Linked DNA regions of Nothobranchius furzeri. The protein of the gene in region 1 purifies or fractionates together with the protein of each later gene. This does not show direct contact. Links are inferred from orthologs where the notes say so. Each region holds a gene or a part of one and is shown in the gene's direction. Other genes may lie near its edges.

Region 1 (3,751 bases):
ATTCATATATTAAAATTGTCAACTGCACACTCATTTGGCAGAATAAAAGTTTGACAATTATTCATTTGTTCTTTATTGTCACATTTCAGTAACAGTTATAATTAAACAAGTTGTAATTCAACAAATTAAATAAATGACTACAACATTTCCCCCTGTTAAGTGCAGTAGACTGAAATGAATAGCTTTATTTGGAAATATAACATATCTAATTTTTAATGGACTTACATAAAATCTTTCTTCAACATAGACCCCACTAATTAACTGATTAAGTGTTATTTTTATAAAAAGAAGAGAGAAAATGCACAAAGGTAGGAAAGGAAAAGAAAGTGATGAAATAATAGGTTTTGTTAAATGTTCTTCATATAATGAATTAATTGACAAAGTTTTTGCAGGGTGTGACAAAAAACGTTCAAGGTCAAGCTCCTGGGGCTAAGCCCCCCCATATCTCAATCCTAGTGACGTCCATGGTGCAGCACATTCAGGCTCAGGAACTCACCTGTCATCGTCCAACGTTAATCACGACTCTCCATGTGGGTCCGCAGACATTTCTGTACATATTTCTGTAAAAGTTCACAAATACACGAGCAAGCTACAAGGTTTCTACTATTTTCACATAGAAGTCTATTTTGCGATTTTCTAAACACTCTCTAAACCATTAAGTGTGCAATATTCTACACATTTTTCTCAGTAAAATAAATTCATATGTTCACTTTTACGTTTGCTCATAAAACAAAAATATTTTATCGTGATTTTGTATTTCGAAATGTTTGTGCATTGTTTGAAAGCATCTTTTAGTCCCAAGTTTTACTATTTTATCAACAGCTGTGGTTTATTTCAGACATGAGAGGCACGAGCCAAACTGGAAGCACTGGTTTTCACTCCCCGAACAATCATTTACTTTTAAACAGCATGTGGTTTCAAAAACACCTACAAGTGAGTAGCAAATCTGAATAAACTAATTAAGAGGCTGATAAAAAGCTAATGAATGTGTATGGCGGTCTAATTATAAACTGACACATACTGATCTGTTATTTATATTTATATCGAGGTTTCACTGACTAACGAGCAGGAGAAAACAGAGAAAATAGCAAGACGCAACAGGAAAAGGAAATACGAGGATGTCACGTGATCGTACGTTGTCTAGGAAACGCATTCATTGCCTGCCTGATGGACCAATCAGATGCTCGGAGAAGTCAAAGCGCAGCGAATCAGCTTGCAGCGCACGAGGATTTAAACGAAGACAGCGAGTCTTTAGCTGAACTCGTTCGCTCGGCATTACGACTCTTTCACTGCTTGTCGGAACCACGCAGACTTGAAAATGGCTCTTCGAGTGACCAGAGTGAGTCTTTAGTCGGGTCTTACAGCTCTTTATCCGCGTAAACACGCCTAGAAACATGTCGAATGATTAGTATTAGCGTTTAAAATGCTTCCGTGCTTCGGTGTACCTCACCAGTTCAGGCACTGTCCTGCTGAGAGTTCAGAGTCAAACCTGAAGCGGATTTTGTGTTTATAGATGAACGACATGCAGCAGCGGCTAAAGGACTCTTTTGTTTCTCTGCAGACTCGGCTCGGTTCTACCAGAACCGAGCTCGGAGGAGGGAAGGCCTGCATGAACGGGCCCAAGCAGAAGCCTCGAGGCGCGCTTGGTGAGATCGGAAACGTCCCGCTGAACAAAGAGGTTCAGAAAAAGGTGAGAAGTTTTAAATACTCGAGTTTTTATGGTATTAATAATATTCACACGTGAGAACTTCATGCGTCTACTTTAGACTCGATGTGATGAAGTCATTTTCTTTTAAAGCGCTGCTAACATGTAGAGCACATGCTAGCAGACATGCTGCTGTTAACGTGCTATTTAAATAAAGTGGTGGACAGGTAAAGGTTTTTTTTAATCCCATAATAACACGTTCAAGTAGGGGGCGCTGCAGAGCCCCGGTGCCTGGAAGAAGCCATTTTCATGCACACATCCACCTAGAAGGTACTCTTGCATTGGACATGTCACCTTCTTAAAGCCCCGCCCTAGCCTTGGTGACTCACCTGGATGCAGCCTGGCTGCCTCACTAGGGATGCTTACTTTAAAGTGGGTAATCGGATCTGTTTAGCGTACCTGCGTAAACTTGTCAAGACTGTATAATCTTCAGTTTAACTCTAGTGAAGCACCAGGTGATTTAATTTCTCCATGGGGGCTTCAACGACCATATTTGGATTTAGAATGTCAAGATCGATGCTGCAAAGAAGCCTGAAGTTGTACCTAAAGCGGTAAAGGTGGAACAGCCCAAGCCTCCGGTCGTCATTGCTGCTGACCCTGAGCCTGAAGTTCAGGTGAGTCATCTGATTAGTTTAAATCCTGATTCGATCCATGCGCTGACGCACCTGTAAAACGTGTTGAACTTCCTCTGCTCCAGGTGCCGCCTGAACCCACCTCGCCCACTCCGATGGAGACGTCTAGCTGCAAACCCGCTGATCTCTGCCAGGCGTTTTCAGACGTCCTGCTCCACACCGCTGTCAGGGACGTGGATGCGGACGACTATGACAATCCCATGCTCTGCAGTGAATATGTGAAGGACATCTACAAGTATCTCCGTCAGCTGGAGGTTGAGCAGAACGTCAGGCCCACTTACCTACAGGGTCAGGAGGTTACCGGGAATATGAGGGCCATCCTCATCGACTGGCTGGTGCAAGTGAGCCTCAAGTTCCGTCTGCTGCAGGAGACCATGTACATGACCGTTGGAATAATCGATCGCTTTCTTCAGGTAATTCCCACGCTCGTCGTCGGTGGGTAGACGTATCCACGTGTAGAGATTAAAGGTGTTAAATGTGCACGTTCCTGCGTCTCCAACAGGACCATCCAGTCCCCAAGAAGCAGCTGCAGCTAGTGGGCGTGACCGCCATGTTCCTTGCCTCCAAATATGAGGAAATGTATCCTCCGGAGATCTCGGACTTTGCCTATGTGACGGACCGGGCCTACACCACTGCTCAGATCCGGGACATGGAGATGACCATTCTGAGAGAGCTGAAGTTTCAGCTTGGCCGACCACTTCCCCTGCAGTTCCTCAGAAGGGCCTCAAAGATCTATGAGGTTTGTGTCGAGGCTAAAGTCCAGCTGATCTTCAGTGACTTGTCTGCTGACTTCTGCCTTTGGTCCACAGGTAACGGCGGAGCAGCACACTCTAGCCAAATACGTCCTGGAGCTCACCATGATGGACTACGAGATGGTTCATTTCCCTCCTTCTATGGTGGCCAGTGCTGCTCTGGCGTTCACCTTGAAGGTCCTGGAAGCAGGCGAATGGGTTTGTATGCGATTTTTAAAATACTCCTGTGTTACTAAAATGGGTTCATCACAGGCTAATGGCTACTCCGACTGATGCAACGAACATTAAAGAGCAAGTCACCCCCAAATCAACTGTTTTTTCTGATAAACTATATAAATGCGTGTCTAATCGTGCTGCAGACGCATGTAGTCAACAGTTTTGCACTTTAGTGCATTTTAGTTAAAATTTCTGCCTAAAACTGTCAGTGTTGTGCCGTCGTCGGGTAAAAACTCTGCGCTGCATTTGAATTTAAATCTGCCACCGCTATTGGCTACCTAGAATGTTAGCTGGTACCATGAGATGTCACAATGTCGTGTGTGTGTGGCCCTCTCGGTCTGCTAGGTAACAGCATTAGTTGCATTTTTTTAAAACAGGAAGTGTGAGCGGAGTAATACCCTGGTAGGGGGTGACTTGCTCTTTAATATAACTATTTCCACCACTAT
Region 2 (3,751 bases), on another chromosome or scaffold:
GCTGGCTGTAGCCGGCCTCATCTGCACCACTTATCCTGCTGTGACCCTTTTAAGTAAACATTTTTTCCAGTAAAAGTACATTGCATCATTTCTCACAAAACAGTTTAAACACTGCACTTTTATTTTGGAACATGAGGCCAAAATCAGCCTTACGTCTGGTGTTTTATTTTCTGTCAGTTTGTGTAAAAAGTAACAAAAGGAGAAAAAAGGTTTTCATGCAGTCATTGACAAAAAGAAACTACCTTAAATTATTTGTATTATATATATATAATGATGTAATTCTCTCTTTTGGGAGTGCATGCTGACTTTTATGTGAAATTGTGAATTTTTTCAGCTGCGATGTAAAAACCAATGCTCGACCCACGGCAGGTTTGATTTCTGCAGGTTCTTGGCTTATTAGTTTTGTTTTACACTCCGTTGTAGTGTGTCTTTGGCATACGTGTGTTGCTTTATGATGCTGGATTTTTTTTTTAAATTTGGTAAATATTTGGTTAATACTTATATTTAGAATAAATCAACTATTAAAAACAGAGTAATGCACACTGAAGATGTTTAGAAAAATAATGGTTTTGACTCCTTTGCAAATTACCTGTAAATTTAGTATTTTTTTTAGATGTGTAACTATAAAGCTTGTGTGATGTAGTCATTTACACAAAAATACGTTTTCTATTTTTAAGAAGCATACATAAATATTTATTTTAGTAAAACGTGATGGAAAAATATGAGCCGACTTCCCCACTCATACACGCCTACTGTCACTTTAAATAAAGTAGGTGGGGCCAGGTGTCGCTTAACCAATGAGCGTCCTTTGCCGGGTTTAAATAGCTCTGTGTGTCAATCATAAGCCCCTCCCCCTCCCGTCTCAGTCCCCACCACTGCTCTGCTCCTCAATCGCCATATTGGGTGCTGAGGTTTCTCTGCAGTTTCTCTCTGAGCGGAGCGAAACTGACAGCGTCCTCAGTTCCTGTGCACTTTGTTTTGATGATTCTCGGAGACCATCTTCGACTCCAGAGCCCCGCAGCAGTTAACGTCTTCCACTTCGACGTATGCATGGCATAGGTGTAGAGCTGCGTCGGATCTTTCCCCCGTGACCTGGAGATACCGCTGTTGTTGTTTTTTATTTGTATTTTTTTTTCAGCGACGTGTTTTTCTTATGACAGCTGGACGCTCCCGGCTGACTGAAAATAGCGTGTTTATTGGGGGGAGGGGAAATGTCTAATGTTCGAGTTTCAAACGGGAGTCCGACGTTGGAGCGGACGGAGGCCCGGGTGTCGGAGCACCCGAAGCCGTCTGCCTGCAGAAGTCTGTTCGGCCCGGTGGATCACGAAGAGTTAAAGAAGGATTTTAACGAACACATGCGGGAGTTCAAAGAGGCTGCCGCTGCCAAGTGGGGCTTCGACTTCGCCAGTGACACGCCACTGAGCAACGGCAGGTTCAAATGGGAACTAGTGGATTCCGAGGAGATGCCGGACTTCTACCACCGGCAGCCGCGGAGGGAGAAGGGCGTCTGCCCCAGGAGCACCAGTGTGGATCTAAACGGGAACCATAACTGCGTCCTGGTGGCGTCGAGCGGGGATACCAGCAAGCCCGACGGTCAAACGGAGTGCACCGGGCTGAGGAAGAGACCTGCTAGTCACGGTACTACATTTGCATCTAATCAGGTTTTAGAGCCGGAGCTCGGCTTTCACCCGACAGGAAGCACATCTATAACCCTCTTCTTGTGTTTTTGCTCCGAGTTTCCCTGACAGAATTTCTTTGCTGTTCGCAGAGCCTCCGACCCAAAACAAGAGGTCCCATACCAGCCCAGACGAGGTTAGCTGTCCGAACCTGAGCCACTCAGTAGAACACACACCCAGAAAGCCCAGTCCCAAGAGACAGACGTGAGCCCGAGAGAAAACGGTGAGGCTTAAACTCATCCGTATACAATAACCGCATGTAGCTTCTGTTCCTCAGCTGTGATCTGAGCCACAGCAGGTTATATAACACGTTCTCTCCACATATTATCGAGTAGCTTTAACGGTGCTGCACGCTTATTTTATCTTCAGTAAGTAAAATGCTGGACTCTAGTAACCATTTCAACATTTTATATTCATTTAATCACAATGAGATCAACTCTGCCGAGAGAAAAAGGCTTTAACGTCTCACTGCTGCAGCTTTTCTACTAAACTGTAAACAAGGGCTGAACAACAGTGTAGTAGTAACACGTCAGCAGCCACTGCCCTCGGAGCAGAGCAGAGAAGGGGCTGGTCTCTGAACACACACACGCACGCACGCACACACACACACACGCACGCACGCTGTCCCTGCAGGCAGAGGAGTGTGCTGAGGAGACCCGCAGGTCCGAATTCAAGTAAAGGGAGGAGGGATGGGCACGATGAGATCTTCCTCACAGTGGTTTAGGACCTGTTTAGGCTGCAGATGAGAACACTTACATCAATGTTTCTTTTTAGCACAGAAATTTGAACAATAACCGGGTGTGATTCAATATGAGGATGTTTTTCTGTTCAAAAGTAAATCCTTGAAAGATTTTATTATAAAATATGATGAAAGAACTGCACTAAAAGACAAAATAGCTGTTAGTTTCATAAGTGTGTGTGTGTGTGTGTGTGTGTGTGTGTGTGTAACAGGTCAGTTTAGCTTAACCTTGTTAGTCTTTTTAAAAATAGGAAACTGATAGGGGGTGCACACTTGAAATAAACAGTCTAGTTATGAAAAATAATTAAAGTGAAACTTTTTCCATGAATTGTTAAAAGATGATTTTTCAAAAATGTTAATACTAACCTTTTTTTTTTCTTATTTTTCCCACCTTCTCCACACAGTTCGAGCATTTTTTTTTTTGCGAGGGTGTTGTTTTTTATATGCATCTTTTATTTTATTTTTTTGGAGGCCTGACTGTTTGTTGGCTTTTTGGGGATGAGGATCTGCGCAGCATCAGAAACATATCGGCTCTTCTGAGGACTGAGGAGGACGCTGTTGAAGCACTGAATAGAAACACTAAAGTTGTGGCACTCAATTAAAAATAAGTTACTGCCTCTAACAGCAGTCGATGTAGCAGTGTGCAATTAGGTTTTATTTCCCTTTTTTGCTCGTTTTGTTACTACCTGTGTGTAAATAAATTAATAAAGATGGATATATATATATATAGGTATAAATATGTCTCCATGTGTAGCACATAAGGAACTTAATTCTAAATCCAATCCTTTTTGTAAAAAGTTGTGAATTTTCATTTGACTTGAAGAATTGCAGTGATGGTTTCCAAAATGCTGTTTTTTATTTTTATTTCCAGACTGTGTGACATTTGCCACTGTCCTTAATTGCTACACTTAAAAAGAAAAAATCATGGCTTCTCACCGTTTCTGTAGTGTTCCTTCACTCCGTCAGCTTCCTAATGCAGCAGTGAAGAATGGTACAAATGTAGCTCACGTATCGTAATTTAATTTGTTTTTTCATTTATTACAGCGCCTCCCTGCAAAGGGCTGGACTCGTCTAAACGACGAGGAGATGTAAAAATTCTGTTAAGATTTTCTGATATTTATTTTTTAATCGAGGTGCTTTTAGCATCAGAGTCCTGGAATATTATGAAACAATTTTTTTGAAGTTTTTCTGTGCGCCTCAGCTACGTTTTAATGTTCGAGTGTTTCCTTTGAGCTGTGAGGTACTCGGCTTTGAAGAACAAGAATCAACGTTTTGCTTTCCTTCTGCCCCTAAACCTTAATCTTCTAAAAGGAAAAAGTCTCGTGGTTTGTTTTTT
Region 3 (3,656 bases), on another chromosome or scaffold:
ATATTCAAATCGTCCCACAAAGTTAAAAACAAACAACAGTTAGTCAATTCATGAAATCATCTTTTGTTTCTACTTCCCGGGTTTCTTCTTTGTCGTCTTTTCTCCGACTTGCGCAGCCGCATGTGGGTGATTTAGCGCCCCCTAGAGTACTTCTTGTCCGTTGAGCTTCTTGTTCCCATTGGCCCGTTTTTACCACGTGATCAACATGAAGGGGGACACCACCCACAGCGCCAAAATTCAAAAACGGTTTCTGACTTGACACGTAAACAACCTGTAATAAAGGCTTGGTAGCTGTCACATATCTTTTATCAAAAATGTAATACGAGCGAAGTGCTCCACAACATCAGCGTTGGAGTTCAAACCAGCGGAGCCGTCTGAAACAAGAAATATGAAGGTCTGGCTTTATTTAGTAGCTTTGCTGTTAGCAATCAGAAGCTACCACCAGCAGCAGTGGTAGCATCGGGCTTTTAAGCTGAAAACCCATTTTCTTAGATGAGACATGGTGTTGTTAGGGCCCAATTTAAGCTTCAAACGTGTCATTGTGTCATAACCTGAAATACTATTTACAACGTATACAACGGTTAGCCATGTCATTGTGAATAAACGTTAAATTATACTTCCGGTGTGAATTTAACGCCTGAATTCTCCAGTTGCCAAGGAATAAAACCTCGGATAACCACTGAGCCGTAACACGGATACGTTAGTCGGAACTTTTTGTCTTAATAGCGTAACCCACAGCGTGTTTTAATATAACATGAATTAATCGTGTGCTTTAATATTAATAGATACGTAGACACGTAAAATAACAACTTAACTTTCCACCGGTGATTTGCGTTACAACGGTTTTCTGATATGATGCAAGCAAGGTAAAGAAAAAAAAATGTGTTCCTAAAATATTCTTTATTTTTTATTTTTATATATATATATTTTTTTTATTTTTCCCACAGCTTACCAGTGAATTTGGATGGACGTTTCAATGATTTGACCATGAGAAGGAGTCCGAGGAGACCCCTTATCCTGAAAAGAAGAAAACTACCTTTTCAGCAAAATGAAGCAGCTGACGCACGCTCTCCATCTGCTGCTTCAAGCTCCAAAGAATCCTCAAAACCAGCTGCCAGTCAGTGCCTCCTAGATGGTGTCCACATCATGGGTCATTCATCCATGTCTGACACTCAGGTGGTTTTCATCCCCAAAGACGTGGATCTTCAGGTTGTTATTGATGCCATTACTGCAAAAAGTAAAGAGTGTGGTGACCAGGGTCCAAGCAAGTTCATCCTTCTGAGTGAGAGTGGAAGCCGGGACAATGGATCTTCTTGTCAAGAATTTGCCAGAGAAGAATCTGTTCCTACGAGGAGTCCAGTTGGACAATCTGTAAGCTCGGAAGCCACATTCAACACTGAAGCTGATCATCAATCTGGCTGTAAATACGGTATGACAGTTTATGCTGTCTCTGATATCTCACCATCCCATATCATTGTCCATTTAAGCACTCTTCTCTTTCATCAGTGATTAAAGAAGCGAGTTGCAGCCCGTTAGACGACAGCCTCACAAACATCCAGTGGCTGGGCAAGATGGACTCCTGTGCCCTAGAGCCGGATTCTGAAGAACAGACGACAGACAAATCGATTCCAACATCCCAGAATTTACAGGTCAGTCTTGCTTCTTTTTGTGTGATGCAGATGGCCTACTGAGTTCTGACAGGACTCCCGAGTGTCCCCTAAAACCACAGACGAACTACTGACTGATTTACAGGCTTATTTGGTTGCTACAATTAGAATGGAGGTTAAATATGATTTTTTTAATTAGATAGTTGGATTTGAAATTAAATATTTTAGTATTTCTCAGTAAAAATTCATCACTCTGGGCTACAGTTGGAGCAGCTTCAGACCCATCTCTAAACTTCCGTTCATCTCCAAGATCTTGGAAAAGGTTGTGGCTAAACAACTCACAGCTGCTCTTGATGAACATAACATCTATGATAGCTTCCAGTCAGGTTTTCGTAGAGCTCATTCTACTGAAACAGCACTTCTTAGGGTCTCTAATGACCTTCTGACTCACAGCGATGCAGGGGACTGTTCTGTTCTGGTCCTGCTGGACCTGACTGCAGCCTTTGACACTGTTGACCATCACCTGCTACTGGAGAGGCTGAGAGACTGGGTAGGCCTATCAGGAACTGCTCTGGAGTGGTTCTCTTATCTCTCTGAGCGCTCCTTTTCTGTGGTCGTCTCCAAGTTTAGGTCCTCCACCACCTCCCTTACCCATGGTGTCCCACAAGGTTCTGTGCTGGGGCCTCTGCTCTTCCTCCTCTATCTGCTTCCTCTTCAGCACATCCTGAGCTCCTTCAAAGGAATCTCCTACCATCTTTATGCAGATGACATCCAACTGTACATCTCCTTTAAGCCCCATGAGATGTCTAAGCTGCAGCTGTTACACACCTGCTTAGACTCTATCAAACCTGGATGGCTGGGAGCTTTCTACAGCTGAATGAAGATAAGACTGAGATCCTCATCTGTGCCCCAGACAAGCTGGTTCCCAAAGTCAGAGACTCTCTTGGTCAGCTTACTTCTCACACCAAACCTTCCGTCAGGAATCTTGGCGTGACCTTTGACCCAGCTCTCACCCTGGATTCTCATGTCAGTTCTCTTGTTCGCTCTTCCTTCTTCCATCTCAGGAACATTGCTAAGCTGAGTCCCATTCTGTCCCGCTCTGAACTTGAGACTGTGCTCCACACCTTCATCTCCTCACGCTTAGACTACTGTAACTCTCTTTTCACGTGTCTGAGCAGAACCTCCCTGAACCGTCTACAGGTGGTTCAGAACGCCTGTGCTCGGCTTCTGACCAAGTCCTCCAAACACACCCACATCACCCCGCTTCTCCTCCAGCTTCACTGGCTGCCAGTCAACTTCAGGGTTCATTTCAAGATCCTGGTTCTGGTCTATAGGGCCTTACATGGACAAGCACCATCTTACATTGGTGATCTTCTTAGTCCCTACACCCCCAGCAGGTCCCTGAGGTCCAGTGATCAAAGCCTACTGGTTGTGCAGCACCAGGCTAAAGGTCAAAGGTGACAGATCATCTGCTGCTGTGGCCCCCAGACTCTGGACCTCTCTCCCCCTGAGCCTGAGATCAGTGGACTCAGGGGTCTCCTTTAAAAAGCAGCTGAAGACTCACCTGTTCAAGCTGGCTTTTGTATGACCTTCTTCACCTCTCTCTCTTTATTCTGCTCTCCTCACCTATTCCACCTTCCTCAGGATCCACTGATTTCCCTCTTTCCTGTTCACTCTCTCTCTTTCTTAACATTTTTTTAATCACAATTGTCTATTTTTGCTCATTTTAATATATTTTTAAACATCTTCTAAATGCTTTTTTCTATTTTTACATTTTTTGTTTTTGTGAAGCGCCTCGTGATTTTTATCTTGAGAGGCGCTGTAGAAATGATACTTTCTTCTTCTTCAGTTGGATAAAATATCCTCTATGATTGTTGCACATATAGATGATTCTCTTTGTGTTTTTTCTGTGACTATTTGCAGCCACATGGTCCATACGCCAGTGCAGAAGCTGTCCAGGGTACCGAAGCAGAGAGACCTCCATACTCCTACATGGCCATGATTCAGTTTGCCATCAACAGCAAGAAGGACAGGAGGATGACGCTGAAG

What was found. Proteins that work in one complex are often made in the same cells at the same time.
Region 2: the proteins of ccnb1 (region 1) and cdkn1bb purify together in Homo sapiens (affinity purification with mass spectrometry; 5 studies listed by BioGRID and IntAct, with this or other methods). This does not show direct contact. The link is inferred for Nothobranchius furzeri from reciprocal best matches to the Homo sapiens genes CCNB1 and CDKN1B.
Region 3: the proteins of ccnb1 (region 1) and foxm1 purify together in Homo sapiens (affinity purification with western blotting; 4 studies listed by BioGRID, with this or other methods). This does not show direct contact. The link is inferred for Nothobranchius furzeri from reciprocal best matches to the Homo sapiens genes CCNB1 and FOXM1.

What each region holds. Positions count from the first base shown.
Region 1 is NC_091746.1:73,742,843-73,746,593, reverse strand, and holds the start of ccnb1 (G2/mitotic-specific cyclin-B1), read left to right. Parts: upstream 1-1,206; 5' UTR 1,207-1,318; coding exon 1,319-1,339; intron 1,340-1,561; coding exon 1,562-1,690; intron 1,691-2,208; coding exon 2,209-2,319; intron 2,320-2,402; coding exon 2,403-2,750; intron 2,751-2,839; coding exon 2,840-3,076; intron 3,077-3,146; coding exon 3,147-3,287; intron 3,288-3,751. UniProt on the Homo sapiens protein: Essential for the control of the cell cycle at the G2/M (mitosis) transition.
Region 2 is NC_091744.1:57,772,452-57,776,202, forward strand, and holds cdkn1bb (cyclin dependent kinase inhibitor 1Bb), read left to right. Parts: upstream 1-945; 5' UTR 946-1,211; coding exon 1,212-1,638; intron 1,639-1,768; coding exon 1,769-1,884; 3' UTR 1,885-1,899; intron 1,900-2,819; 3' UTR 2,820-3,144; downstream 3,145-3,751. UniProt on the Homo sapiens protein: Important regulator of cell cycle progression. Inhibits the kinase activity of CDK2 bound to cyclin A, but has little inhibitory activity on CDK2 bound to SPDYA. Involved in G1 arrest. Potent inhibitor of cyclin E- and cyclin A-CDK2 complexes.
Region 3 is NC_091741.1:41,405,762-41,409,417, reverse strand, and holds the start of foxm1 (forkhead box protein M1), read left to right. Parts: upstream 1-737; 5' UTR 738-852; coding exon 853-866; intron 867-947; coding exon 948-1,429; intron 1,430-1,506; coding exon 1,507-1,649; intron 1,650-3,530; coding exon 3,531-3,656. UniProt on the Homo sapiens protein: Transcription factor regulating the expression of cell cycle genes essential for DNA replication and mitosis. Plays a role in the control of cell proliferation. Also plays a role in DNA break repair, participating in the DNA damage checkpoint response.